Anolis sagrei: one gene and its partner. Each later gene encodes a partner of the first gene's protein in a complex. Links are inferred from orthologs where the notes say so. Each region holds a gene or a part of one and is shown on either strand. Other genes may lie near its edges.

Region 1 (14,962 bases):
GATTCTCCTGCAAGAGCCACAATGCCAAATGTCATTTCGAAACTACATGCATAGATTTGCTTCAGGTCTTTAGAGTCCTGGAAGAGGCTACATCTGGTTGCAGGCATGAAGCCCCCCTGCCCCCCCCGAAATTCTCATGGTGGTCCGCGAGAAGGCCTTACTGGTACATTATTTAAACTGTTATGTTTATTCATATCATGATTTGATCACTATGCTCAATATGTCCCATATGCATGGGGTATTGGGGTAACGATACAAAAGGTTTGCTAGGGTAGACTCGCTTTTCAGACTCAGCACCCCCCCAAATCAAACTCAGCCCCCCCCCCCCCCCCCCAAATCAAAATCCTGGCTACGGGCCTGTCTGGTTGGATCCCTGATCTGAAAGCCTCCTGTTAGGATGCAAGTGTAGTGGTATGTAGATCCTGTTTTCCATGGTTTGCCTGGCTCCCTTTGGATTAAGCTTCAAAGAAGTGGTTTATGGCAGGGGTCCCCAAACTAAGGCCCCTGCAAAGTCATTTACCTGTTCCTCACCCTAAACTTTAGACTAAGGGTTGCCCTAAGTCTGAAACGACTTGAAGGCACACAACAACAGCAATCCTAATTAACTTGACTATTTCATCAGCCAAAAGCAGGCCCACACTTCTCATTTAAATACTGGTTGGTTTAAATGGTTCTTCATTTGAAATATTGTATTGTTCTTTCATGGGTTTTATCCCCTAGAAAAAAGATATGTGCAATGTGCATAGTTCATGTTATTTTCAAACTATTCTGCTCTGCAAAAGTGAGGGACTATGAATCAGCCTTCAGCTTAAAAAGTTTGAGGACCCCTGGGTAAGAGACTTAATTCTGTCTGGTGTTCAGAGTGAACTGTCTTTATGATATCGGCTTGTACTCTCTTTTTCTTTTATTTTTTCTTTATTTGGAGAAGCAGTCATCTGGATTTTAGTGCTTTGGAGTTTTCTATTAGAGTTGAAAAGTGGAATATGATCTATTTTATAAAAATAATGTCTCCTGATTGCCCTAGTGCAACCTCATTTTAAAAGCTGCTAATGCTATTGGCATTAGGGCATATTCTGGCATCATCCACTCAGGGAAGAAGCTGTCTGTATCTGTTGAATCTCTTATCAATTTCTTTAATGGATAAATTCTAGTTTTATGAAAAGAAGGAACATTCTAATTTTCTTCACATTATGAATTTGTAGTTTATTTGTTCAGTCACATCCGACTCTTTGTGACCTCATGGACCAGCCCACGCCAGAGCTCCCTGTTGGCCGTCACCACCCCCAGCTCCTTCAGAGTCAAGCCAGTCACTTCAAGGATATCATCCATCCATCTTGCCCTTGGTCGGCCCCTCTTCTTTTTTCCTTCCATTTTCCTCAGCATCATTGTCTTCTCCAAGTTTTCCTGTCTTCTCATTATGTGACCAAAATACTTCATCTTTGCATCTAATACCCTTCCCTCCAGTGAACAGTCGGGCTTTATTTCCTGGAGAATGGACTGGTTTGATATTCTCACAGTCCAAGGCACTCTCAGAATTTCTGTGATTTTTTTTAATTCAGCCATGGAAACCTTATGGGAGTCACACTCTCTCAGCCCCAGAATATCCAGCAATAGGGTTGGTTGCCTTGGGATTACCGTAAGACTGACTGACTTGATTTCAGGTTCTCCGGCATTCAAACCGTTGCTTCAAAGAAGTGTCTTATTCTCTGTCAAACAGTGCTTTATTTGTTAAGAAGCAGATCAGCCTCCTCGTTGCATCCTATGTCAGAACTATGTGATCTATACAGAATAAACCTAATAGAAGACCTTAGAAATTGTATGATAGGTTCAGCAATCGTACCATTAGCCCTTTGGTTCTAATGTGAGAAGGTTCAATCTCCCAGTCTCATCTAATAAAGTAAAGGTAAAGATTTCCCCTTGACATTAAGTCTAGTCTAGTTGTGTCCGACTCTGAGAGGTGATGCTCATCTCCATTTCTAAGCCAAAGAGCCAGCATTGTCCGTAGACACCTCCAAGATCACGTGGTCAGCATGACTGCATGGAGTACAGTTACCTTCCCACAGAAGCAGGAAGGTAACTCACATTTGCATGTTTTTGAACTGTTCTCACAGTTGCATGTTTTTGAACTGTTAGGTTGGCAGAAGCTAGGGCTAGCAGCAGGAGCTCACCCTGCTCCCCAGATTCATACTGCCAACCTTTCAGTCACCATGTTCAGCAGTTCAACAGTTTAACCCAATGCACCACCCAGGGGGCCCAGTCTCATCTGACCTAATCATAACCTAATCATCTAACCTAATCAACAGATTTTTCTTGCTTCTTACATTAATCTTTGATAGTCCTGGCCAAATGGTCTAGTACGAACCTTGTATGTTTTCATATAGTATACTAGCCATCCCCTGCCAAGCATTGCTGTGGCCCAGTCTGTATATATGTGTTTTGTGTGTGTGTGTGTATTTGTGTATATGCGTATATATGTGGTTTTGTGTATGCGTTGCAATGTATTTTTTGGTTTTTGGCTTTTAAAGTCTCTTCTGTGTTTTTCAATGTTTTTATAAGTGATGGTCACTTGTTGGCCTGATAGGTGTCTTGTGTCCAAATTTCATGTCAATTCATCCAGTGGTTTCTGAGTTATGTTAATCCCACAAATGAACATTACATTTTAATTTATATAGATATGCAGCAGTTGTGTATGCCCCATGTTGATGTTTATGGCCTGACTAGAAATAAGTCATGACACTTGAAGGCACACAACAGCAAAGCCCAGATCTTGTATTATCCCCATCTGTGATGGGTTGAGATGATAATTTAATAATATATGGTCTTCCAAGTTAGCCTTACCATATTGTGAGGTTTTACTTACATTCCTTTCCTGTCCTAAATCCCTACCGGCAGATTTTCATGTTTTCCACAGCTGTTACATAACACTGGGCAGCTGCCACTATAGCTATGTCAGTGTTGTATGTGGGCCAACGTTTTAATACATAAAGTCTTTTTATATGGAGAAAGTTACTTGGAGCAGCTCTTGTGTTCCAGGTTTCCACACGTTGGCGAGATTTCTGTGGGAGATCCGCAATTCCCTTATAGCTTGCCCACTCTGCAAGTACCTTCTGCCTCCTGTCCACATTAATTTAATAGGGTTTTCTTAAGCAATGAATATTCAGAGGTGGTTTTGCTTCTACGCTGGGATTTATGAGTTATTCCCATCCAAGTACTAGCCAGAGCAGGCCCTGCTTGGCTTCCAAGATCAGCCAGAATGATTTATGTTCAAATCCAACCGTTTTTTAAAGGTGATCTTTTGGCAGGGGTGTTGTGTGGTTTCTGGGCTGTGTGGCCACGTTCTAGTGGAATTTTCTCCCAACATTCTGCCTGGCATCTGTGCCTGGCATCTTCAGAGGATCTTGATGTGGTCTGGGATTTGTTTTATTATATCAGAAGCGACTTGAGAAAACTGTAAGTTGTTTCTGGTGTGAGAAAATTGGTCGCCTGCAGAGACGTTGCCCAAGGGATGCCCGGATGTGCTACCATCCTGTGGGAGGCTTCTCTCGTGCATGGGAAGCTGGCAATTCAGCTGGCACAAGGGTTTAACCCACGGCTCCCTGGACCGGGGCTGAGTTGCTATCTATATATATAAAAATGCTCTGTGCATAATGAGTACCTTAAAAACAAAAGAACCAATGAACGAAATCACACCAAATTTGGCAACAAAATGTCTTACAACACAAGGAGTAACCATCACTCAAAAAATTATGATTTTGTCATTTGGGAGTTATAGTTGCTGGGATTTATAGTTCACCTACAATCAAAGAGCATTCTGAACTCCATCAACGATGGAAGTGAACCAAACTTGGCACACAGGACTCCCATGACCAACAGAAAATACTGGAAGGGTTTGATGGGCATTGAACTTGAGTTTGGGAGTTGTAGTTCACCTACATCCAGAGAGCACTGTGGACTCAAAAAATGATGGATCTGGACCAAACTTGGCACAAGCACTCAATATGCCTAAATATGAACACAGATGGAGTTTGGGGGAAATAGACCTTGACATTTGGTAGTTGTAGTCACTGGGATTCACAGTTCACCTACAATCAAAGAGCATTCTGAACCCCACAAACGACAGAATCGGGGCAAACTTCCCACACAGAACCCCCATGACCAACAGAAAATACTTAAGGCCACCCAATCCAACTCCCTTCATCAGGGCAAGAAAACGTAATCAAAGTCCTCCTGACAAAGAGCCATCCAGCCATAGATAGATAGATAGATAGATAGATAGATAGATATGATTCACACACACATGAAATGCCACCCCCAATATGCATTATATATGAAGAATTACAAAAACCAAACACCCATCCTTCCACATTCGAATCACTTCTATGGTGCCATATAAAATCCAGATTATTTGCTTTGAACTGGATTATATGGCAGTGTAGGCTCATCTAATCCAGTTCAAAGCAGATCATGTGGATTATCTACTTTGATAATAATATGGATTATATGGCCATAGCGACAGCTATGATGGAAGGAAGAGAAAGAAGAGATGAAAGCAATGCAGTAGTGGACCCAGGGTAGAAAGGACCTCAATTGCTCCCCCTCCCACAACACACCCGAGAGGCTAGCTGAGCCTGGGAGTTTTGGCATCAGTTACATTTTTAGGTTCCTCTGTGCAGGAGCTTGCCAAGACACGTTAGTATATTTTCTGCTTCTGAGCTGCTGGAAGAAGGTCATTCAAATGGACACCTAAAGAACATTTGAATCTCCCTCAAAGGACATTGTGTGAGTCAATGCTCACATGACTGTATATATGGAGCCCCTGGTGGTGCAGTGGGTTAAACGGCTGAGCTGCTCTACTTGCTAACCGAAAGTTTGCAGGTTCTAATCTGGGGAGTGGTGTGAGCTCCTGCTGTCATCCCCAGCTTCTGCCAACCTAGCAGTTTGAAAACATGCAAATGTGAGTAGATCAATAGGCACCAGTCCAGCAGGAAGGTAACGGCGCTCAATGCAGTCATGCCGGCCACATGACCTTGGAGGTGTCTATGGACAATGCTGGCTCTTTGGCTTAGAAATGGAAATGAACACCAATCCCCAGAGTAGGACAAGACTAGACTTAATGTCAGGGGAAAGCCTTTACCTTTTATTTATTTATTTACTGTATTTGTATACCGCCTTTCTCAGTCCATAGGCGACTCAAGGTGGTTATCAGGGAAAAATTCAATTCTTGCAATGTCATAAATACAATTAAAAACATAACAAATAATAAAAACCAAAAAAATCAGTAAAATATAAATTCATAGTGTATCCTCGTTAAAAAACGAAGTCATTTACAAATGCTTGTTCATAAGCCATGCCTTGACTTTTTTCCGGAATGTTAAAAGGGGGGTGGCCGATCTAATATCTATAGGGAGGGCATTCCATAGCCGAGGGGCCACCACCGAGAAGGCCCTGTCTCTTGTTTCCGCCAAATGTACTTGTGACGAAGGCGGTAACGAGAGCAGGGCCTCCACAGACAATCTTAAGGTCATAAGGGGAGGTGTGTTTGGACATGTAAGTTGGACCGAACCCATGTAGGCCTTTGCAGGCTAAAGCCAGCACTTTGAATTGTGCCCAGTGGTAAACTGGCAGCTAGTGGAGCTGGCACAGCAGAGGAGTTGTACGCTCCCTGACTGCTGTTCGTTGGACCATTTGAAGCTTCTGAACAGTCTTCAAAGGCAACCCCATGTAGAGTGCATTGCAGTAGTCTATATGGGATGTAACAAGAGCATGGACTACCATGGCCAAGTCAAACTTGCCTGTCGCTCTGCATAATAAAGCGTAAACACCTTGGTTTTACTGATCACCTGTGTGACCTATCTTTTCTCTAGCAAGACAATGTGTGGATTGATAAAGGTGCGAACTACGCCTTTGGACCGCCAGAAGATCCAACCAGTCCATACTTCAGAAAATAAAGCCCGACTGCTCATTGGAGGGAAGGATAGTAGAGACAAAGATGAAGTATTTTGGCCGTATTATGACAAGAAAGGAAAGCTTAGAGAAGACAATGATGCTGGGGAAAATAGAAGGAAAAAGGAAGAGGCAAGTTGGATGGATGGCATCCTTGAAGTGACTAGATTGATCTTGAAGGAGCTAGGGGTGGTGACGGCCGACAGGGAGCTCTGGCGTGGGCTGTTCGATGAGGCCACGAAGAGTTGGAAACGACTGAACGAATGAACAGCAATGCATGATTTTCATTCTGTCACAGACTCATTGAATCCAGCTCAAAGAAGATAATAGATTGTCTGCTTTGATAATGTGGAATTTTTTTTTGTAGTGTCAGGAGTGACTGCAAGTCGCTCCTGGTGTGAGAGAATTGTCCGTCTGCAAGGACGTTGCCCAGGGGACGCCTGGTTGATTTGATGTTTTTATCATCCTTGTGGGAGGCTTCTCTCATGTCCCCGCATGAGGAGCTGGATCTGATAGAGGGAGCTCATCCGCCTCTCCCCGGATTCGAACCTGCGACCTGCCGGTCTTCAGTCCTGCCGGCACAGGGGTTTAACCCACTGCGCCACCGGGGGCTCCGATATTGTGGATTATACGGCCATATTGACAGCTAGGAAGAAAGGAAGAGCAAGAAGGGATGTAAGCAATGCAGTCGTGGACCCAATGGGGAACCTCAGTTGCTCCCACCCAGCCCCGTGCGCACGCGCACTCCGCAGCCGCACCGCTCGCCCGCCCGCTCGCCCCCTTTTCCCCGGGATGCCCCGCCCCTTTGGAGGCAGCTGGCTCCGGATTGGGCGCCCCCGCGTCCTGGCCACGCCCCCTGGGCTCCCCATCCCGCCCGGCGCCGCAGTCCCCCCGCCGGGCGCCGCAGCCATGAACCCGTTATTCGGGCCCAACCTCTTCTTCCTGCCGCAGGCGGAGCAGGACTCTCCTTTCGGGCTCTTCCCGGGCGGAGGGAGAAGGGGCGAGGAAGAGGACGAGGAGGAAGAGTGGGGCCCGGCCTTCGGGGAGCCTTTCTCCTCCACCACCACCACCTCCTCCTCTTCCGCCATGGCGCTCCGCAACGACCTGGGCTCCAACATCAACGTGCTCAAGACCCTCAACCTGCGCTTCCGATGCTTCCTGGCCAAAGTGCACGAGCTGGAGCGCCGCAACCGGCAGCTGGAGAAGCAGCTCCAACAGGCCCTCGAAGGGGGAGGCAACGGAGGAGGGGGAGGAGGAGGGGGCAGCGCGCGGCGCTCCAGCATCTCCCGGCGCGACCAAGGCGTCCAGACGGGCTTCGTGGGGCCCATCCGCCCGCTGGGGCTGCCCTTGGCGGGAAGCATCGCCCCGCGGGTGCTGGGCTCCCCCAGTCCCAACCCCGCGCGGAGCTTGGCCTCCCCCGGCTGCCACCCGGGAGCCCCCTTGGCGCCCAGCAGCCTCGCCTCGCCTTCCTCCTCCTCCTCCTCCGCCTCGACGCGCTTCCTGCCGGGCACCATCTGGTCCTTCTCGCAGCCGCGGCGCCTGGGGCCCGGGCCGGAGACCACGCTGGTGCAAGGGCCCGGCGTCTCCTGGCTCCACCCGGACGGCGTCGGCGTCCAGATCGACACCATCACCCCCGAAATCCGCGCCCTCTACAACGTCCTGGCCAAAGTCAAGCGCGAGCGCGACGAGTACAAGCGACGGTGAGAACGGAAGAGAGGGATTGGAAGGGGTGGCATCCGGGGCACAGGAAGGGAGCTAGGCTCAGGCCTGGGCAGGCTTGGTGTTTTGGACTGCAGCTCCCATCATTCCTCACAGCCTCAGGTGCTCAGCCGGTTAAGAATGTTAGAATGTTGAGGCTGGCCAATCAGAACCCATATGCAAATTAATAGGTGGAGATCGCTCATGCACGGGCCAACTTGGGTCCTCACGGTGTTTTGGACGTCAACTCCCACCATTCCTAAGAGCCTCAGGCCCTTAGAGACTTAAGAATGTTAGAGGCTGGCCAATCAGAACCCATATGCAAATTAGTAGGTGGAGATCGCTCATGCACGGGCCAACTTGGGCCCTACAGGTGTTTTGGAACTCCAACTCCCACCATTCTTAACATCTTCATCCCCTCAGCCACTTAAGAATGTTAGAATGTTGAGGCTGGCCAATCAGAACCCATATGCAAATTAGTATGTGGAGATCGCTCATGCATGGGCGAACTTGGGCCCTCCAGGTGTTTTGGACATCAACTCCCACCATTCCTAAGGGCCTCAGGCCCTCAGCCACTTAAGAATGTTAGAGGCTGGCCAATCAGAACCCATATGCAAATTAGTAGGCGGGGATAGCTCATGCATGGGCCAACTTGGGCCCTCCAGGTGTTTTGGACCTCAACTCCCACCATTCCTAACAGCCTCGGGCCCTTTCCTTTTCCCTTTCATCTGCTTAAGCTTAAGGTCATTTTGAAATGTCAAAAGGGGGGCCAAAAGGGAAAACTTTTTGAAAGATCTGGCCTGAGAAAAAGAAATGGGCATCTTTAACAACTGGATCACTCTAACAACCACCATGTTGGACTATACAGAAAAGACATTTAAATCCACAAGCATCACTGTGCTGCTGTGAGTTTTCTGGGCTGCATGGCCATTTTCCAGAAGTATTCTCTCCTAACGTTTCGCCCACATCTATGGCAGGCATCCTCAGAGGTTGTGAGGTCTGTTGAAAACTAGGCCAGTGAGATTTATATATCCCTATAATGTCCATGCAGCTGTGGACAAGTCTACATAGGGACTACCAAACACAGCATTGCCCAAACACAAATCAAAGAACATGAAAGGCACTGCAGACTATTTCATCCAGAGAAGTCAGCTATAGCAGAGCTCCTGATGACCCAACCTGGACACAGCATATTATTTGAGAACACAGAAATGCTGGACCACTCTCACAACCACCATGTCAGACTGCACACAGAAGCTACTGAAATCCACAAGCATGTAGACAATTTCAATTGAAAGGAGGGAATCATGAAAATCAACAAAATCTGGCTACTAGTATTGAAAAACTCTAAAATCAGGACAGTGAATAAAGTGCAACACTAAAAAAAACCCCAAAACAAAACAAAAAAAACAGAGGAATTCCAGACAAGAAACAATCAGGGCTAGATAACACCTCTCAACAAAGGATCCCCCAGGCAGTTACCAGCCAGGCTTTGAAGCTGCAAGGCCATTAAACACTAATCAAGGTGGCCAGTTGCAACATTCACACTTGCCTCAAGCAGTTCTTTCTCTCACCCTGGACATTCCACAGATATATAAACCTCATGTGCCTAGTTTCTAACAGACCTCACAACCTCTGAGGATGCCTTCCATAGATATGGGTGAAATATCAAGAGATAATGCTTCTGGAACATGGCCATAGAGCCCGGAAAACTCACAACAATCCAGAAAGGGGCAAATTCAGCCTAAACTCAGGGCTTCTGACTGGAGAGCTTCCCTTCTCAGAAGGGAAAGGGGCACTGCATTTCTTGAATCAGAACCTGTCCAAATATCACAAACCTGGCTTCATGGGTCTGGGAACAGGGTTGCAGAGAAGTATTGCCTCTCTCTCCCTCTCTCTTTGTGTCTCTTAAGAGTGAGAAGGAGAGAGACAACATTGGTTAGACCACATCTGGAATACTGTGTCCAATTCTGGGCACCACAATTCAAGAGAGATATTGACAAGCTGGAATGTGTCCAGAGGAGGGCAACTAAAATGATCAAGGGTCTGGAGAACAAGCCCTATGAGGAGCGGCTTAGGGAACTGGGCATGTTTAGCCTGAAGAAGAGGAGGCTGAGAGGAGATATGATATCCATGTATAAATATGTGAGAGGAAGCCACAGGGAGGAGGGAGCAAGCTTGTTTTCTGCTTCCTTGGAGACTAGGACGCGGAACAATGGCTTCAAACTACAAGAGAGGAGATTCCATCTGAACATTAGGAAGAACTTCCTGACTGTGAGAGCCGTTCAGCAGTGGAACTCTCTGCCCCGGAGTGTGGTGGAGGCTCCTTCTTTGGAAGCTTTTAAGCAGAGGCTGGATGGCCATTTGTCAGGGGTGATTTGAATGCAATATTCCTGCTTCTTGGCAGGGGGTTGGACTGGATGGCCCATGAGGTCTCTTCCAACTCTTTGATTCTATGATTCTATGATTCTATGAAAGAAGTCTGCCACTACCTAAGAGTCCGTTTTCCCTGTGGCTTTTGAGTTTTTTCCTAATTTCCCATAATTTAGTGTTCAAGTAGCCTATATACCAGGGGTCCTCAAACTAAGGCCCGGGGGCTGGATGCAGCCCTCCAAGGTCATTTACCTGGCCCTGCTCAGAGTCAACCTAATTCTGAAACGACTTGAAAGCACACAATAATGACAACATTCTTATCTCATCATCCAAAAGCAGGCTCACATTTCCCACTGAAATACTAACAAGTTTATATTTGTTAAAATTGTTCTTCATTTTAATTATTGTATTGTTTTTAGGTGGGGGTTTGTTTGTTTTTTTGCACTACAAATAAGATATGTGCAGTGTGCATAGGAATTCATTCATGTTTTTTTTTTTCAAATTATAATCTGGCCCTCCCAACAGTTTGAGGGACTGTGACCTGGCCCTCTGTTTAAAAAGTGTGAGGACCCCGGCCATATACCCTTCATTGTCCAGGAGTCTTTGGGACTGCCCCCTCCTTTCATCCCTTCTTTCTCTGTTCCTCCCCTCATGCCTTTCCCCCCTTTCCTTTGGCTTTCTTTCTCTCCTTTTTCTTTCCTCCCCCTCCTTTTTTTCTTTTCTTCTTTCTTTCTTTCCTTCCTTCCCCCCTCCCTGTCTCTTTTCTCCTGTAGCTTACATCACAATGCCTCTGTGGTGACATGACTTTCTGTGTAACTCTTTCCTTCCTCCCTCCCTTCTCCTCATACATAAGTCACCTTTCCTTCCCAGTAACATCACAAAGGGCCACTTCCTCTGGCAACAGCCTTTATGAACGTTAGGAAGAACTTCCTGACTGTGAGAGCCGTTCAGCAGTGGAACTCTCTGCCCCGGAGTGTGGTGGAGGCTCCTTTTTTGGAAGCTTTTAAACAGAGGCTGGGTGGCTATCTTTTGGGGGTGCTTTGAGTTCAATTTTCCTGCTTCTTGGCAGGGGGTTGGACTGGATGGCCCATGAGGTCTCCTCCAGCTCTATGATTCTATGGTTAAGACATCCAGTAGAGACATACTTTGACATTTCATATATAGAGATGTATTTTGAGACCCCAAGCATGGCATCCACGTTGCCACCCGTTTGCCTCCTTTCTTCTTTGCCGTATTGGGCGAGTCCCATGTCACATCTCTGAGGCTGACTCAGCTGACTCAAAGGGGAGGAGGTCCAGAAACCCAAGCCCTTTAAAGATCTGCATAGGCACAGTGTTTGCGGCGGCAACATATTATTTTTGAAGTGCTGTTGCCGCACATTGCTCCCTGCAGACAAAAATGGTTTTAGTCTACATAAGCAAAAGCGTACATTTCTCGACCGGAGAAATTAGAATCATAAAGTTGGGAGAGACCTTGTGGGCCATCCAGTCCAACCCCCTGCCAAGAAGCAGGAAAATTGCATTCAAAGTATCTCCAACAGATGGTCAGGGGTGACAACCTACATTTAGATTGACAGCCTTCTTTTAGACAGGTTGTTGGGACCTGTCTAAGTGTAGGGTGCGAACCAATGCAGTCGGAAAGATCTTTCATGTACTGTTTCTCTAGAAATCACAACCTCAGCATCTCCTTTTGGTGAAAAAAGAGAGAGCAATGCAGTATAAAAGCTGCACTTTAGCCAAGATGCTCACTTCCAAATCTACCCAGCTACTAGGATGACCTCAGGGGCCTTTGGCTAGCTCTACACTGCCACGTAATGCAGTTTGAATTGCATTATATGGTGAATTTAGAGCCATATGATGATGCTTAAACTGCACTATATGGCAGTGTTGATCCAGCTCCAATCAGCCCATCTTCAGAAATAACCAGAGACAAAGGCCTTCTCTGTTGCAGCATCTCAGCTATGGAGAAGGCTTGCGAGCCTGATTTCCTTCCTGCCACCTTCCTAGGAATCTTCTGGTTGTGCAATGGGTTAAACCGTTGTGTCGGCAGGACTGATGACTGACAGGTCGGAGGTTTAAATCCGGGGAGAGTGCGGATGAGCTCTCTCTGTCAGCTCCAGCTCCCCATACAGGGACATGAGAGAAACCCCTCACAAGGATGGTAAAACAGCAAAACATCCAGGCGTCCCCTGAGCAACATCCTTGCAGACGGGCAATTCTCTCACACCATTATTGACTTGCAGTTTCTCAAGTCACTGCTAATTCAAAAAAACCTTCCTATCTTAAAGTTCTTCAGGCATTAACAATGAATTTTAAAAAGATCAATTGGTTTTATAGTGTGGCAAATTTTTCTTTTTTTTCATTCTTTGTTAATGTCTGAAGAGCTTAAAAACTGACCTTGAAAGTTCGTTAGACAAGTGGACTTTCTTTTGGTCCCATCACTGTCATAGACTCCTTGATGGGGACACAAGACAGAGCCTTCTCAATACCCTTGTGCATCCCCTTGAATTTCACCCGGCTGTCTAGTGTTATTATTTTTCAGGTTCATGATTGGTGACAAAGTATGATGGATGCTCTGACAGCGAAAAAGGCTTTGAAACAAAATACAAAGATCGGAAAGATGATCACACAATGCTAGTGAAAGTCTGAAATTAGTGTGGGTGGGGGGTGAACAAGAAGCTACCAAGAAACAGTATTCGCAGTAGGGTTGTTGTGAGTTTTCTGGGCTGTATGGTCATGTTCCAGAAACAGTCTCTCCTGACGTTTCACCCACAGGGACTCAGGGTGGCTGACAACAAAAGCATAAATATACATCTTCGGTTAAAAAATATTAAACATTATAAAAACATCATAATAACAGTAAAAACAGTGCTGCAAGGCATTGAACAGCCTTGCAGCTTCAAGGCCTGGCTGATTCCTACATGAGTGAATCCTTTGATGGGGGGGGGGGGGAGTGTTAGCTGGCACTGATTGCTTCCTGTCTGGAATTTCCCTGTTTTCTGAGTGTTCCTCTTTATTTACTGTCCTGATTTTAAATTTTTTTAAATACTGGTTGCCAGTAAAATGGGATTCCAACTAAGCATTGGAAATAACTTCCTGACAGTCAGCCCTACTCAGTTATGGAACTGACTTTTTCAAAAGGAGATGAGTTCTTCTTCACTGGAGATTTGTAAACTAAGTTTGGAGTCATGTTTGTCGATGATGCCTTTGGACTAGTAGGTGGTCTTTGGGATCTTTTCCAGTTTTGTGATCCTTGGAGTAGCTTTTCATTTGAGCATGAAAAGAACTGAGGTTTTTCATGTCACAAGGAAACAAACCTTCCTTTATTCTTTCGGCAGTGAATATATTTGAACATAGGGTGAGCTAATATATATATAAAAGAGGCATTCTTTCTTACATTTTATGTAATACTAGCCATCCCCTGCCACGCATTGCTGTGGCCCAGTCTGTGTATATGTACCACCATGTCAGACTACACAGAGAAGCCATTGAAATCCACAAGCATGTGGACAATTTCAACAGAAAGGAGGAAACCATGAAAATGAACAAAATCCGGCTACCAGTATTTAAAAAAACTCTAAAATTAGACCAGCACAACAACAGAGAGGAAACAAACCAGGACATCTAATCACCTCTCAACAAAAGATTGCTCCAGGCACTGCCAGGCAATCAAATGCTAATCAAGGTGGTCAGTCGAAACATTCACACCTAGCTCCAGCGGACAAGAGTTCTTTGTCCCACCCTGGTCATTCCACAGATATATAAACCCATTTTCCTAGTTCCAACAGACCTCACTACCTCTGATGATGCTTGCCATAGATGCAGGTGAAACGTCAGGAGAAAATGCCTCTAGAACATGGCCATATAGCCCAAAAAAACCTACAACAACCCAGTGATTCCGGCCATGAAAGCCTTCGACAATAACATTACATTTTTATTTATATAGATGTATGTGTTTCTTAAGGAAAGGTTTGGGGGTTCCTTTTGTGTGTGCATATGCACATGTGTGTATGTGGATCATGTTGTCCTGGAGATGTTTGCCTTGTGCACAAAAGCTACTCATGTTTCTGTTGCCACCACTTCCTTGTAAACATACAAAACCACCATTGTTGCTAAGCCACAGTCAGCATAGTTAGAGTAGGGCAAGAAGCAAAACATTGTATACATTTTGTAGCTAAAAGCAGAAGAGAATTTGAGGTTCGTTGAAGAATAATGAAACAACATTTCCTTTCTTAGAGTCACTTGCACAAAGTTTTCTAAAGAAACCTCGGAAACGGGAAGAAAGATGGCAGGGTTTTGCCGTACTGCATTCCTCACTCTCCTTGCCCAGAACTGGAGCTCAAAATGATGCAGGAGGGGAATGCCAAAATGATGATGCAGTTGAAGCAGGAACAATAACATCTTGAGAGAATGACTTCGCTTGTGAAAAAGAAAAGGGCTTAAACAGATACAATTCTTTTGTAACTAGGGCACCTTCCACACAACTGAATAAAATCCCACATTTTCTGTTTTGAACTGGGATGTATGGCAGTGTGGACTCAGGGCCCTGCCACACAGCCCTATATCCCAGAATATCAAGGCAGAAAATCCCACATTATCTGAGTGTGGACTCAGATAACCTAACTGATGTGGGTCCTTCCCAGCTCTACTGCCCTGATACAAGTTGGGCCATTTCTAATTTCTTTCTGTAAAATGTAGTTGTGGACCTCCCTTGTTGTATCTCTTTGGAAGAGGGTTTTAGCAAAGGATCATTAACATTGTGGATAATTTTATCTTCCTTTCCATACTCTGATGCTAAAGAGTCATACAATCAATGGGCAGCATATTCAGCACAGGCAAAACAAAGTGCTTTAGGAGATGGAATTCACTTCCATTAGAAGCCATAGATATTAAAGTGGAATAAACAAATTTAGAGAAGATCTGACAGTGGCTATCAGCATTTGTCAGCA
Region 2 (15,867 bases), about 63 Mb from region 1:
AATCCAGAAGATGGCCAAAGTAGAAAGATTAAACATCTACATCCAGAATATTTCATTTTATTAATCTCTGAAATGAAGGTTATTGGGTTCCTAATAATCAAAACGAAAAGTAATCACTTGTCAAAAAACCCTTGTTTACTTTGGCTGAAATCTAGGGTAATTTTGCATGGCTTTACCATGATTATAACAAGTTACTAATTAGTTAATTGTCTGAATTTCACTGTCTCTAACTACTTGGCACAGCTTCTTTTTCTATAAAACAAACACAAATCATCACTGTAGAATTTAGCTCTCTTTTTGTACGTCGGCACCTTTTACACAGATAAGCTGTTGCCTATTTGTTAGGTAGTGCAAACAGACATTTAATCTGAATGATGATGGATGCCTCTTTCAAGAAAATTAAGCAAAAAAGCAGTGCACATATGAAAACTGTAAAACTGTAGGAGGTATACTTCCTCAACATTAATTCTAAGCAGATGTAGAATTGCAGACATTAATTCACACAGCTATTTGCAGTTTAATTAAATGTATGCCAGATGATGACAATGTCTTGTAATGTAATTGTGGTGGCCTCTCTTATGGGAAAAGTCAGTGAACTGTTTCTTGCTGTGGAAAGATTTCTTAGTCAGGGTTGGGCAACCAGATTCGCTTGAAAGAATACTGGCATGTATAATCACTTGAACACATCGCCGCTTCAAAAGTTTAGCAATTTTTATTTATTTTTATTACATAGTGAAGGTATTAGAACCTTTCTTCAATTGATTAATTACCATATAAAGTTTTAAATGTTACCAAATGAATTTACCCACCACTTATTCCCTACAATATTTATCAAATACACTCTTCGGTGACATTTTACCACTTTAGAGACTGTCACTGGATATTTATTGAAAGTATTAGATGAGCAATTCATACTCATTAATGGAGGGAGAAGGTTGTATTTATGTTTCACTCACTGTCAAATTTTTCAAGAGTATAGTGCTAGATCAAAGTGTTATTGGTCCAGTAATATTGATTTTGTAGTTCACTTCACTGAAACTACACTCTCTTACTGGAGTCAGGGCACTTTCTAGATGTATGGCGTGTTTACCTTCTTCCCAATCTTTTCTATCAATGCTGAAATGCCTAGAAAGTGTTTTGTGAACACCCCAGTATTGCTGGGGTTTGGTTACAGAGTGGTCTGTGGATATCAGAATCCATGGATACTCAACCCATTACATATAATTGAATGCCCCTTATATAAAATGGCAACATCAAGGTTTACTTTTTTGGATTTTTTTTAAAAACAATTTCCAAGCTTTGGGTTGTGGAATCCATGATACAGTGGACCAATTGTATGTAGAAATAGATTCATGGAGGTCCAAATAACAACATTGGTTTCTTTGTAATGTTATTTAGGCCTTTTTATAAGCCATAAGTTACTTTTAAAAGTATATATAAATGGTTTTAACATGTTTCAGCGTATTGACTGATTTATTACACTTTCATTCAATCTAAATTATTTTATGGTTTTAATCTGGAATTCTTTTCAATTGTTCAGATTGTTCTAATTATATACTGATCTGAGATCAAACAATCATTCAAACAATCATTTAAAGTCAGTACAGCATCGTTAGAACTTACATTCAGGTAGGTATATTTTAGGATTTCTATCTAGAGAAATGTACTGATGGAGTTTTGGTAAACATGAATCAGTGTAGCACAGTTTTTCTCATACTAGTAACCACAGATTAGGAAAACTGATCAAAGCAACGTGACAGAAAAGAGTTCCATAACACCAAATATTTGGAAATGTCAACATTATCATTAGTAGTTTTATTTATACCCTGCCTTTTTCCTCAAGAGGGCTCAAGATAGCCAACAGATACAAACTTTAATCAATTTTTTTAAAATCAAATACAAAAACTGAAAACAATTAAACAGCACTGTGTGTGTTAGGTTAAAATACAGTTTAAAAGTATTTTAAAACACACAGTCCCCTCAAAAACCCCTCCCACAATCTCCCCAGCAATGTGCCCCTTATCCTTCTCCTAATGCCTGTTGGTAGAGCAAGGTCTTGACCTGCTTGCAGAAGGCCAGCAGGGATGGGGCCATCCTGGTCTCTCTTGCGAAGGAGTTGAGGAGCAGCCACTGAAACGACCATCTCCAGTGTTCCCATCAAACATGCTTGAGCATGTTTGGTGGGAACACGGCACCCAGTCTGGTTGTTATCCAATAATTTTAAAAGGCATGTATTGATAAGATTCAAGTTACACAGACATCATCATCATCATCATAAGATGTTTATTTGGCACATTGAGGTATGTGATGCTGCTTAACAAGTAAAAACCAAATAATGCTGTCCTAACCTCAGGTTTACAATCTAATTAAGACATGACACAAAAGGAAAAGTGATGGCAGTGTGGAAGAGAATTAAGTCCAGCAGATACTGCCTCCTCTTCTCTCCTTCTGAGGCCACAGGAGTGGCAGATGGAATGGATGGAGAACCTTTCATCTGTGAACACCTATTAACAGTACATTTTGTCCAGACATTAAATAATGAACACACATACTTACCAATTCTGGCACACTTCCAGAATATTCCCAATAATCTGAAAGGATATTAAGAGGAATTAGAAAAAAATGTAGTCAAAACTAAATGCAATTTACAGGGGGCTTTCTCTGCTGTGGCATCCTTGCAATGGGAGAGTCTACTCTTAAGGGGCCCAACTGGCACTAGCATTGGTGTCTTTCCAGTGCCAAGTAAAAACATAACTTAAAGCTTTTGAAGTTTAACTAAATCAATCCAAATCTGCATATGTACGAACTTTTAAGATACCTCAAACCATTTAAGTAACTTCAACCATTTTTAAACAATCTTGTAGGATAGTTTAATATGTTTTAGTATATTTACATCACTCTTCTTTAAGATAATTTTAAACGGTGAAAATGTATTGCACATCACCCCGAGATCTTTGAATTCAGGGAGGGCTGAAATATCTTAACTAAAAAATATGAACACTGGCTAAAATCCTGTGACTCAGGACCTTGTGGAATTTTTAAAAAAATCTTATTTGACAAACATCACTCATGATATCAAGAATGGATTCTAAGTCCTCCATGCCATGCAATTTATTTGGAAGACTTTTATCTAAAACCAATTCTCCCACCACCCTGAGTAGATTGGATTTGATTTCTACCAAAGACTCTGGATCAAATACAGTACAATTCCCATATCTGCATGGGACACATGCAGATATGGGAATAATAAACAAGCAAGTACATCTATTTCTCTTTCCCCTGCATTTCAAGACATTCACATACCCAGTCTGGTTGTTATCCAATAATTTGGGAGCCAAGGATCTTATATAGGCACAGGTACATATAAGTAGCAAGATTACTGTCAGTAGACTCTGAAAGTTGAAGATCGCAGACTAAAAGAGAAAAAAAAAGCAATACAAAATAGGAGTCATCATCCAGCCTTTATTACTTATTATTTTATAATTTTAGAATCACTACTGAGTCTTTGAGGTCTATAAAATCAGGGACCATTCCAGTGCATCATTTATGGTTTCCAATAAAGCTGCTCTCATTAGCACTCTATAACCACAAACAAACCTAAAACTTGATACACACACACACACATTATATATATATATATATATATATTTATTCTGAAACTATTAATTTTTTTTCATGTCAGCAGCGACTTGAGAAACTGCAAGTCGCTTCTGATGTGAGAGAATTGCTTGTCTGCAAGGGCGTTGTCCAGGGGACGCCTGGATGTTTTACCATCCTGTGGGTGGCTTCCCTCATGTCCCTGCATGAGAAGCTGGAGCTGACAGATGGGAGCTCACCCTGCTTTCTGGATTCGAACCACTGACATTTCAATCTGCAGTCCTGCCAGCACAAGGTTTTAACTCATTGTGCCACTGGGAGTTATTGATTAGATTATGTCACACAACCAGCAGCACACTTTTTATGATAAAAATTAATGACACTTTTCCAGGTAGAAATCTCATGGGTTCAGGAAGACTTTAGATTTAGTGAATCTCCTTGACACATGTCACTCTCCTTTGGGTATACTCTTACAGCGAAAGGCAAACTGACATAAAAGGAGGAAGGTAGATTTCCTACCAACACTTTTGATGACTATCCTAAATTCAGTGGCCTATTTTTTCCCCCACAGAAACAAATTTCAGTTACTCATTGTGCTGTATATTGGACAGAATAGGTCTGCTTATGATGACCTCAACCACTCTTCCCTTAATAGCCTCAAGGTAGAGAATGTGCTTTCCATGCAGAAGGTCTTCGATTCAAAATTAAACATTTACAAATCTATCCGTACCACAGCCTTCTGAATGAGGTTTGTTTTTAGACTTGAATCAAATTTATCTCCATTATGTACATGCAAATATCCCAAAATTTGAAGTACTGAACACTTCTGGTCCCAAACATTTCAGATACTTAACACGTGCCTGTATTTGTAAATACATATACAATGAGATATTTTGGAGATGGAACCCAAGTTGAAATACAAAATGCATTTATGTATATTTGGTGTATACTTTATACACACACCTTGAAGTTAATATTATACAAAATATTTTAATAATTTTGTGAATGAAATAAAGGTATCACTATCTTAGTCACCCATGTGAATAATTTTGGATTGTGGTGCATTCTGGATGTTTAGATAAGAGATGGTCAACCTCTAATAGTAAGACTCCAGAATTTCCCAGCCTGTATGGCCACTGGATTCTAGAAGTGAGTGAATACGGTTAGACTTTAACATCTCGGATTCAACCATCAATGGTTTGAAGTTTAAAAAATCCAAAAAGCAAACCTTGATTTTGTCATTTTATATAAAAGGCACCATTTTACTATGTCGCTGTATATAATGGGACTTGGAGACCAAACTACAGTGAACACCAAGGAACCACTGTATGTATCTAATGAAGTAAGAGTACGAGTGGTGTAGTGCTTTGAGCACAGGATTAAATGCCTGCAGGTTAGAGTTCAAATCTACACTCCGCTCTGTAAACTTCCTGGGGGACTTTTGACAATTTGCATTCACTAAGGTCCCTTCCACACAGCTGAATAAAATCCCACATTATCTGCTTTGAACTGGGATATATGGCACTGTGGACTCAGATATTCCAGTTCAAAGCAGATATTGTAGGTTATTCTGCCTTGAAAATATGGGTTATATGGCTGGGTGCAAGGGCCCTATGTTTAAGGGCCCTTCCATATAGCCCTATATTCCAGAATATCAAGGTAGAAAATCCCACATTATCTGAATGTGGACTCAGATAACCCAGTTCAAAGCAGATAATGTGGGATTTTCTGCCTTGATATTCTGGGATAGAGGCCTGTGTGGAAGGGCCATTAGAGGAAAGATAAGAGAAGCCCATTTCTTAACAAATCTTCCCAAGAAACCCCTGTGATAGGTCCACCACAAGTCTAAAACAACTCAAAGGCAACCAACAACATGAGATATCCTGGAGAGGGGATACAAGTGTAAACACATTTGTTTATTTTTCACGTGCACCTTTCAACATCACCCAGAAGTAATTTTATACACCATATTTTAGAAATAACTTGTGCATGGAGCAAGGTTTGTGTAAATTAAAGCACCAGAAAATGTAAGTATTTATTTACTTCTTTACGATATTTCTACCCCGCCTTTCTCAAATCTGAAGATACTCAAGGCAGCTTGACAACATAGGCAACTATTCGATGCCCTTGAAACAATGTAAAAATCACAATAAACATTTAAAACAAAATTATAAAATACATACATTAAAACTGTTAAAAACATAAATAAAGGTGTTACCATGCCATTCCATTCCCATGAACAATTTTGGGTTTGGCGGTATATCAGGATTCCAGATAAGGGATGCCAAGCCAGAACTTTTTCAGGCAGTACTTGTTTTTTGGTACCTTACTAGACTGAAAATGTAACAAGCTGTGTTTGTTCTTTGCCCCTCCCTTGTTGTGCTGCTTTTCTTTTATGGAGTTCAATTTGCACAACACATACTTCAATGTAGGCATGGGAAAGCAGAGAAGGAAACTCCAGATGACTCTCTGGCTGCATCTTCTACACAGTAGAAAAGGGGTCCTCAAACTTTTTAAACAGAGGGCCAGGTCACAGTCCCTCAAACTGTTGGAGGGCCGGATTATAATTTGAAAAAAAAATATATGAATGAAATATATGCACACTGCACATATCTTATTTGTAGTGCAAAAAACACTTTAAAACAGCACAATAATTAAAATGAACAATTTTAATAAATATAAACTTATTAGTATTTCAATGGGAGTGTGGGCCTGCTTTTGGCTGATGAGATAGGATTGTTGTTTTTGTTGTGTGCTTTCAAGTCGTTTCAGACTTAGGTTGACCCATGTATAAATATGTGAAAGGAAGCCACAGGAAGGAGGGAGCAAGCTTGTTTTCTGCTTCCTTGGAGACTAGGACGCGAAACAATGGCTTCAAACTACAAGAAAGGAGATTCCATCTGAACATGAGGAAGAACTTCCTGACTATGAGAGCCGTTCAGCAGTGGAACTCTCTGCCCCGGAGTGTGGTGGAGGCTCCTTCTTTGGAAGCTTTTAAGCAGAGGCTGGATGGCCATCTGTCAGGGGTGATTTGAATGCAATATTCCTGCTTCTTGGCAGGGGGTTGGACTGGATGGCCCATGAGGTCTCTTCCAACTCTTTGATTCTATGATTCTATAAGCAAGGGCTGGGCAAATCACCTTGGAGGGCCATATCCGGCCCCCGGGCCTTAGTTTGAGGATCCCTGCTGTAGAATGAATGCAGTTTGACACCACTGATGGCTATTGAATCCTGGCAGCTGTTGTATAGAGTCACCATGTAAAGCCAAAGGCCTTGGAGAGCTACAACCCCAAGGATTCCATAGCATTGAGCCATGGGAGTTAAAGTGGTGTCAAACTGAATTCATTCTACAGTAGGCCTGGGCAAACTTGGGCCCTCCCTCCAGGTGTTTTGGACTTCAACTCCCACCATTCCTAAGAGCCTCAGGCCCTTTTCTTTTCCCTCTCAACCGCTTAAGCGGCTGAGAGGGAAAAGGAAGGGGCCTGAGGCTGTTAGGAATGGTGGGAGTTGAAGTCCAAAACACCTGGAGGGAGGGCCCAAGTTTGCCCAGGCCTGTTCTACAGTGTAGGCCCCTTTTGGGGAAAGCAAGAAGGTTCATGAGAGAACCCAAGGGCTCCTTCCTTCCTTCCAGCGCGGAGCCCAACCCTTCTCTGACGCCAGGCCTCGGAAGCCGCCTCAGAAAGCGAGAAGCCGTACCTACAAAACCAAAACCACAGACGCCCCCTGCCCTTCCCTCCCGTGTTCCTCTCTTTGGCCCTTTGCTTACCATGGTTACGCGCCGCCGCGAGCCACATCAGACATCCGGCAGCCAAGGGGCGGGGCACGGAAGACGCGGGAGCGGTCCGCCTAGGCTGCTGATTGGTCAAAGGAAACGGCGGCCCGCGATTGGCGCCAGCGAAGACGGTTACCGGCGCTCTGATTGGAGGAGATTCAGAATGTAGGCGGGGCTGCTCCTGGGGGCAACGGAACGGAGGCGGGAGGAGAAGCCGGAAGTGGAACTTTCAGTCCAGTGTGAGGTAGGAGAGGGGGAAGTTGTGTGTGTTTGTTAGGTAGTGGGGGTCCTATATCCCTCTCGCCATGCTAATGAAGGGAAGACTAAAAGGCAAGGGGTTTCTTGTCAAGGAGGAGGAAAATTATTTGAAAATGCACTTGTTTTCGTTCCAAGGCTGAGCGAGGCTTTTCAAAGCTATGCCCTCATTTCTCTTATCGCCTGTTTTGAGATTGGGAAAGTTACTTTCTTGGATTGCCAACTCCTAGGGTGTATCTACACTATATTTAATGTAGTTTGGCACCACTTTAGCTGCCAGGGCTCAGTGTTATGGAATCCAGGAAGTTGTGGTTTTACAAAGCCTTCTTTGCCAAAGAGTGATGGTGCCCCACCAAACTACAAATCCCAGGATTCCATGGCATTAATTCATGGCAGTTAACATAGTCTCAAACTTGCGTGACCGCATCTCCGTATACGAACCCACATGATCTCTCCGGTCATCTGGAGAGGCCCTGCTCACAATCCCACCTGCGTCACAAGCACGTTTGGTGGGGACGAGGGACAGGGCATTCTCTGTGGTGGCCCCCCGACTCTGGAACTCTCTCCCCAAGGACATCAGACAAGCCCCAACATTGGCAGTCTTTAGGAAGAGCTTGAAGATGTCGCTGTTCCAGTGTGCCTTCCCAGAATGGAAAACTCCTAGCATCATGTCCCAAATGCACTTTACTAGAAAACCTATCCATTTCACCTGTCATGTCCAGCATTTTTAAAATTTTATTCATTACATTTGGCCCGGCCTCAGTTTTTAAATGCCTTGTGGTGTTACTGTCTAATGCTTATTGTTATTGTTTTAATGTTTATTGCTTTGCTTTATGAGTTTATTTATTGTTGTATTTGTTATGCTGTTGTTTTATTGATGTGTTGGGCCTCTTGTAAGCCGCACTGAGTCCTTCGGGAGATGTTAGCGGGGTATAAATAAAGTAAATAAATAAATAAACTTGTCTCCTGCATATGTCATCAGTTGGGGATTCCTCTCCCCAGCACCAACTGCCACTCTGGGCTAGAGTAAAGAGAGAGGGGGGCAGAAGACAGTTCCACCTTGTTTCCTGCGTTATGCTAATAATATAATAACTAATAATATGATATTATAATTATATATTTATAATAAAGATAAAGGTTTTCCCCTGACATTAAGTCCAGTCATGTCTGACTTGGATGTGGTGCTCATCTCCATTTCTAAGCCGAAGAGCCGGCGATGTCCATAGCCACCTCCAAGGTCATGTGGCCGGCATGACTGCATGGAGCGCCGTTACCTTCCTGCCGGAGCGGTACCTATTGCCCTACTCACATTTGCATGTTTTTGAACTGCTAGGTTGGCAGAAGCTAGAACTGACAGCGGAAGCTCACACCGCTCGCCGGAATCGAACCTGCGACCTTTCGGTCAATAAGTTCAGCAGCTCAGTGCTTTAACCCACTGTGCCACCGGGGGCTCCTTAAATAGCAGTCATGACTCAGCAGGGATATAAGGAGCTCCCGGTGGCGCAGTGGGTTAAACCCCTGTGCCGGCAGGACTGAAGACCGACAGTCACAGGTTCGAATCCGGGGAGAGGCGGATGAGCTCCCTCTATCAGCTCCAGCTCCTCATGCGGGGACATGAGAGAAGCCTCCCAGAAGGATGATAAAAACATCAAATCATCCAGCGTCCCCTGGGCAACGTCCTTGCAGACGGCCAATTCTCTCACACCAGAAGCAACTTGCAGTTTCTGAAGTTGCTCCTGACACGACAAAAAAAAAAAAGCAGGGATATATATTTATATTGCATGTAATATTACTAATATTACAAAATAATTGTATAGTGCAATATAGTAATATTTAATACTGATATTGTACTATGCTAAGAAGATAATATATTGTATGTATATATATCTTGTAAGCCGCACTGAGTCCCCTTCGGGATGGGAAGGGTGGCACATAAATGTTGTCAATAAATAAATAAACTGCATTAACCCATCAATGTAGATGTACCACTAGACCACTGGTTCTCAAAACATCTCCAGATGCCGGCAGAGGAGTTTGGGGTGGGGGGTAGCAGCTTCCAGCAGCTCGTCCTGCCTCTCTCAGTCACTGAAGATGAGCCTTCGGCAGCTGTAAACACTCCCCAGTGATCTGGGCAAGCTTCTCTAGAGCAGTGGTTCTCAACCTGTGGGTCCCCAGGTGTTTTGGCCTACAACTCTCAGAAATCCCTGCCAGTTTTCCAACTGTTAGGATTTCTGGGAGTAGAAGGCCAAAACATCTGGGGACCCACAAATGTTCCCCTAGACCAGGCATGTTAAACTTGGGCCCTCCAGGTGTTTTGGACTTCAGCTCCCACAATTCCTAACAGCCTCTGGCCCTTTCCTTTCCCCCCTCAGCCGCTTAAGCTAAAAGGAAGGGGCTTGAGGCTGTTAGGAATTGAGGGAGTTGAAGTCCAAAACACCTGGAGGGCCCCAAGTTTGCCTATGCCTGCCCCAGACTCTCAGTCAGAGGCCATACATATTCCGGGAGTTGTTCTAAGGCTCATCAACCCAGCAGAAACAATGCTATGGCTCACAGCTATACATTTCTAGGATTTGTAGTTTGGTGTCAAACTAAATTAATTCTACAAGATACACCCTTATTCTCTTTGAGGGCCAAAGAAATAAAATGCTATAGGTCATGCCATAGTTTTGTTTTGCAGTGGTCCACGCATTAAAGTGCTCCTGACAATTCTCATTCATTTATGGCAACTGAAATGCATGGGACCAGAAGTGTTTTGGATTTCAACACACCTGCATTTGTATATATGTGCCTAATAAGGTATTTTGGGAGATGGGACCCAAGTAAACACGAAATTCATTTTTGTTTCAGATACACCTCGGCGACATTGCCTCACAGTAATTTAATGCAATATTTTAATCAATTTTGTGCACAAAGTAAAGTTTGTGTGATTATCAGAAAGCAAGGCAATACTATCTTAGCAACCCATGTGGGCAATTTTGGAGTATTCCAGGTTTCCGAGTTAGACATCCCAATCCATAGTTTCATCCATTATTATTATTATTTACACACCGCTTTATCTCTCCTGAAGGAGACTTAAAGTAGCTTACATTAAAAGTATGACCACATAATTTAAAATATACAAATATGTGAACATTGAAACAGAATTAAACATAACAGTATTTAAAATCGTTCCCACTGCCCAGTAAGTTAATCGTGCTGTTTTATTCCAGAAAAGCTTTTCGATACTCTGTTGGTAGACCTAAGTATTTGCTACACGGTTTTCACATTACATGTCCATAGGATTTGCTAGTTCTGCCCCAAAAGAAATAGCAGTCATCAACAGCATGCAATAGTAAAAACATTCAGCATCATTTTGCTCATCCAGATTAATCTTAGACCACTAAACTTGGGCTTCTGGTTTATTGGGAAAATTTCTCTCCTTCTCAGTGTTCACATAAATTAATCAAATCACGTTAAACACCGCAGAACTTTTCCAGAAGTAACTCTCTGATTTTAGCAAGTCTTCATATATGCTTTGATGGCTTATTGCAGCCTGTTGATTGTTTAGTTGCTCATCCTGAAGGAATTTGTGAACAGGAGATTTGTGTTTTTCCCCATCCAGACCAACATATGGTAAATATCTGCTTTTGCTATCAGTTTAAGGAAGATATTCTTGCTTCTACCAAACTGAAACCTATTTCCCCTGAGCACAGCACAGAAATAAAATGATAGGTATCTGAAAGGGCATCCTTTGTGGACTACTTCTGTCTGTTTATTTTCCTTATTGGCTTAATATATTGAAGTCCTGCTCGTATTCTAGCAATTTTTAGATAGTGTCCATCAGTAATCTAAGAGGTAATTCATATCATCCAATAGATCACAAATGGAAACTGGATGTAGTCAAGCAACATCACAGTATGGTCAAGATGGCAAATGTTATGGTATTAATGAGGAAGAATAAACAAGCTAGAAGAGGCTATAGAAGTTTGCTTTTCCCTGAGCCTATTGGGAAAAGCAGGATTTAGCCTCCACTTCCCCCCAATGAAAGGGGGAAACCGCAAATACAAACACACACACATACACACCCTTCCAAGAGAACACCTCTCTAGAGCTGGCTCTACACTGCCAACATATCCAAGGATATGTTCCCAGATTATCAGATTATCTCCGATTATCTGCCAGTATAGACTCATAATCCAGTTCAAAGCAGACAACCTGGGATCAGATCCTTTAGGTCCTCCACTGTGATCTTAAGATCAAATTCCAATAGAGTCATTGTGGAGGACCTCTAAATGCCTAATCCTTTCTCTAGGAATCTCTCAGTCCTCCAGTGCATTTTTATAAACATCAGCTAGACATTGACCATAAAGTTGCACTGGAGGATCTAGGCCCCTTCTACACTACCATGTAATCCAGATTATCAAAGCAGATCATCCACATTATCTGCTTTTAACTGGGTTATCTGAGACTACATTGCCCTATAATCCTGTTCAAAGCAGATAATCTGGATTTTATATTGCAGTGTAGAAGGAGCCCTTTCAAAAGGGAATATACTAATTAAATCTACAGATAGTCAAATTCATAAAAGTGAAATCTACAGTGTGGAGAACCAACTTTAAACTGTTTTTGTACTTTGAAATCAATAATCTGAGGACAAGGGAAGAGAGGAAAAAGGGGAGAGAAATCTATCCATTTTCAAAGCAGCTGAAAAAGGAAAGAAAGGATTGATCTTGACTGTTTCTGCCAAATCAGAAAATTGGTGCATATGTTAGTTATATGAGAAGGAGTTACTCTGAATATAGTTATCCACTGACGTAGCTAAAATGAAATTTGATCCTGATATGTATGGTAAGGTGTTGGGTATTCATGTTTTCTTACAGTGGTTGAAGAACTTTTCAGACATACTGTGATTTTTGGCAATATCCCAATGTCCATTATGTTTTATAATGTTTCATGATAGTTGTGGCTGAATATGAAGGAATTCTTATTCTTAAGGGAAAAGATGGGGTATAAATAAAGCAAGTGTTTTATTTTGCAATTTTTGCAAATTAAGTTATTGATTTGGTATGTTACTTCTCAACTGTATGTTTCTTTTGTTAAATGATCACTTTCCTTTTCTAAGAACAATAACTTTCTTAGTTGCAATCATTTAGAACTCATGAGATGCATGAAGATGATAGACCTGAGATTAGTGTATTAATCCCTGCTTTACTTCTGTTTTCATTCCATTTCCTTCATATTGCAAGAGTTATAATCAAATCAAGTTTGCAAACAGAAGCCAGCTTGAATGTTTAATGACAGCTAGTTAAAATGATCCAGGAATCCTGTACAGTTGTGAGGATAAAGGCCAAATTAAATCCCATCCAAAACACAGAGGAATACAGGTGGCAGGAAACTAATTATGAATCCTAGAGAAGTGTTGGCTTAAGTTGTCTTCAGTAGATCCATTTTTTTTTTTTTGCTATGAAACACACCAGAGAATTGAGATTTATTGCCTCTTCCTTCAGGGAAAAATGTTCTGTAATGATCATAAATGTGTGTAAAAGTATTCTTTCAGGTCCATTATCTAATCTCAAAAATGAAAAATTGTATTTCCTCTATTGGAGGGGTAAAAAACCAAATGATCTGAAAATATGAAATTTAGACATCCTCTGAGACATTTTGGCAAAAGAAGGAAACGAAGGAAATTCAGACCTGTGTTGGATTGTCTAGATCTTTCTTTACTGTAAAACACATTTGTATGAACTTCAGTAAAATCTCTATAATCAAAACACTGGTTGCAATCCTAGCAATTTTTAGACATATCCCTTAAGCCATGCTAATTTGAAGTGATAGCAATTTGAACAGAAGACCTGGAACCAAACATAAGCAGATACCAAGGGCTCACTGTATTAGGGACAAAAAGTACTATACCCTAATTCAAAATGCAATAGATGAATTGGGACAGTTTTTGTTGCAGCTATTTTTCTCCCTTAAATAAAACACTGCCCTGCATGTGTCAGATGTTTGAAACCCAAAGGTGTATTTTGCGATTCTTAAGGTGACAGCAGGCATGTAGCCGGAGGGGGGGGGGGGCTTGAGGGGCTTCAGCCCCCCCCCCCCGAAATTCTCATGGTGGTTCACGAAAAGGCCTTACTGGTGCATTATTTAAACTGTTATGTTTATTCATATCATGATCTGATCACCATACTCAATATATCCCATATGCATGGGGGTATTGGGGTAATTATACAAAAGGTTTGCTAGGCTAGACCCTCTTTCGCTCAGACTCAGCCCCCCCCCAAACCCCCCCTGAAAAAAATTTAGCCCCCCCCCCCCCCCCCGAAACGAAATCCTGGCTACGGGCCTGGGTGACAGTGTGCTAAAATGCCTACTTCATGGATCTAATTATGTGTGGATTTTCAAGCAAACTTAATGACCCATCAGCTCAGATGGATATTTCTAAGAACAACAACTTTCTTAGTTGCAGTCATTTAGAACTCATGTGATGCATGAAGATGATAAACCTGAGATTAGTGTATTAATTCCTGATTTTCTTCTGTTTTCATTGCATTTCCTTCATATTGCAAGAGTTATAATCAAATCAAGTTTGCAAACAGAAGCCAGCTTGAAAGTTAAATATTACCTCTTAATTGGCATCTTTCGTGGTCCTCTGCCAAGTATTGTGTTTGCTTCCTGGCCTTCTGGAGCACACAGAAGCCAATAGCTGCTCTGGCACGCAAGATGGGCAATGCTGATGCAAGTGCACATCTTGATTTTCACACTGACACAATTTTTTGCTACGTGGTAAGGCTGGCTAGGACCCATGTGCCATGTGGACGGAATTGGTTCGTAAATGCTGCTGTAACCCCCACCCCCGGCTTTAGGTCTGCATGTTCCAAAAACTTAATGGCTGAGATTTGCAACACCTGCTGCTGAAACCTTTCTCACCCAGGCTTTCTCAAAAGTCAGCCATGGAAGCCAAAAATGAAAGGCGAACTTGAAATATCAATGATACTCTGTGGAGCAGTCAAAAAAAATTAAGACTTGGCTTCTGTATTGTGCCTGAGTGCTATCCAAAGCAGCATACAAAATCATTTTGTTAACTAGTTTTTAAACAACTGTCTTGTTTATTCATCTAGGCTGTGAGCTGTCATTGTTGAAAGAGCAGACTCCCAAGTAATTACATGCCAGCCAACAGCTGATTCTTCCCCAGAAGGAAGCATTGCCTAATAAAGATCATAGATGCCAAACACCAAAGACACAAAGTACTAAAGAGAAGCATCTCAATCGTCAACTGTCTGATGTTCTCAGTACAGCCAGTGATGTACAAATTTGGGGTGGAACTTAGTTCATTCCACCTGCAATTCAATCTTTGTTCTTTAGGAATTATATGGTGAGGTGTTGATATGTAATATGACTCTTTGTGCCCTTGGGAGCAAAGCACTGACTCATCTATTGCTATAGTCAATCAGTTTTCCTAAAGCTTTTCTTTGTATTAACCAAGGAACAGTGAAACTGAATGGGTTAATTTTGCAGACATAGCTAATGTATTAAGATTTGCAGAAGCAGCATTATTAAATCTTTAAAAGCATACTAGGGCACTCCCCTTTGAGTATTACTAGTTCATATATGTTCATTATAGGATTAAAAAAACAATTTAACTATCTTCAAAATGAAGTGGTGTTGGCAAATTCTTGACTTCACCAATTTGATTTAATTAAATAATAATATTGATAATATACAAGAAAAATCCTCACAGACATCATCCAACCAGCTTCCATATCAGACACTTTCAAAAGCTTTGTTTGAAATCTTGTAAAGCATTTCAAATATTTTCTCAAAAGAAATTACATTTTAGCAAATTTAGTGTGATGTTTGTTTAAAGGTTTTCAGAGGAATTCATAATAGTGCATTTGGATGTAATCTGTGTGGGTAGCTTTGAAATATATTTCTTCCTGGCTCAAACATAGATAGTGCTTTTGCCCTGTAATTTTTCAGCCGAATTTGGAAAAATGATTTGACATCGAAGGATAAAGTATGTGACGCCTGTATTTCTGCAGAGTTCTGCAAATACCTTAAATGTAGGGATACATTTGTTATTTCGGTTGTGGGAAGCTTGTATCTCTGTCTTGCTCAGGTCCACTGTTGCATTATGTTATATTAGACTTTTCTAAACACCTTTAAGCCTTCTGCATATCAATAATGTATCAACATGTTTCAGGACTGAGAAGTCTTCCTGCTCTGAGTTATCCATTCACTCAGGCTAAACCACAGGAGACTCA

The links.
Region 2: the proteins of IFFO1 (region 1) and XRCC4 are in contact, whole or in part, in a crystal structure (PDB 6ABO), measured with the Homo sapiens proteins. The link is inferred for Anolis sagrei from reciprocal best matches to the Homo sapiens genes IFFO1 and XRCC4. Residues at the interface, in NP_001317253.1 of Homo sapiens: Arg469, Glu470, Tyr473, Ile477, Gln479, Ile480, Glu481, Glu483, Leu484, Ala487, Lys488, Asp490, Met491, Arg493, His494, Leu495, Tyr498, Met501, Lys505, Leu508, Asp509, Met512, Cys515, Arg516, Leu518, Ile519, Thr520, Gln521; in NP_001304941.1 of Homo sapiens: Trp155, Val158, Gln159, Phe162, Glu163, Cys165, Val166, Lys169, Glu170, Glu173, Leu176, Tyr177, Phe180, Val183, Leu184, Lys187, Lys188, Lys190, Ile191, Leu194, His195, Lys197, Leu198, Ala201, Ala202, Arg205, Glu212.

What each region holds. Positions count from the first base shown.
Region 1 is NC_090022.1:197,313,606-197,328,567, reverse strand, and holds the start of IFFO1 (non-homologous end joining factor IFFO1), read left to right. Parts: upstream 1-6,801; 5' UTR 6,802-6,852; coding exon 6,853-7,643; intron 7,644-14,962. UniProt on the Homo sapiens protein: Nuclear matrix protein involved in the immobilization of broken DNA ends and the suppression of chromosome translocation during DNA double-strand breaks (DSBs).
Region 2 is NC_090022.1:260,344,535-260,360,401, reverse strand, and holds the start of XRCC4 (DNA repair protein XRCC4), read left to right. Parts: upstream 1-7,526; 5' UTR 7,527-7,613; intron 7,614-15,867. Other genes in the region: TMEM167A (protein kish-A), read right to left, coding at 2,557-2,591, 3,304-3,413, 7,364-7,366.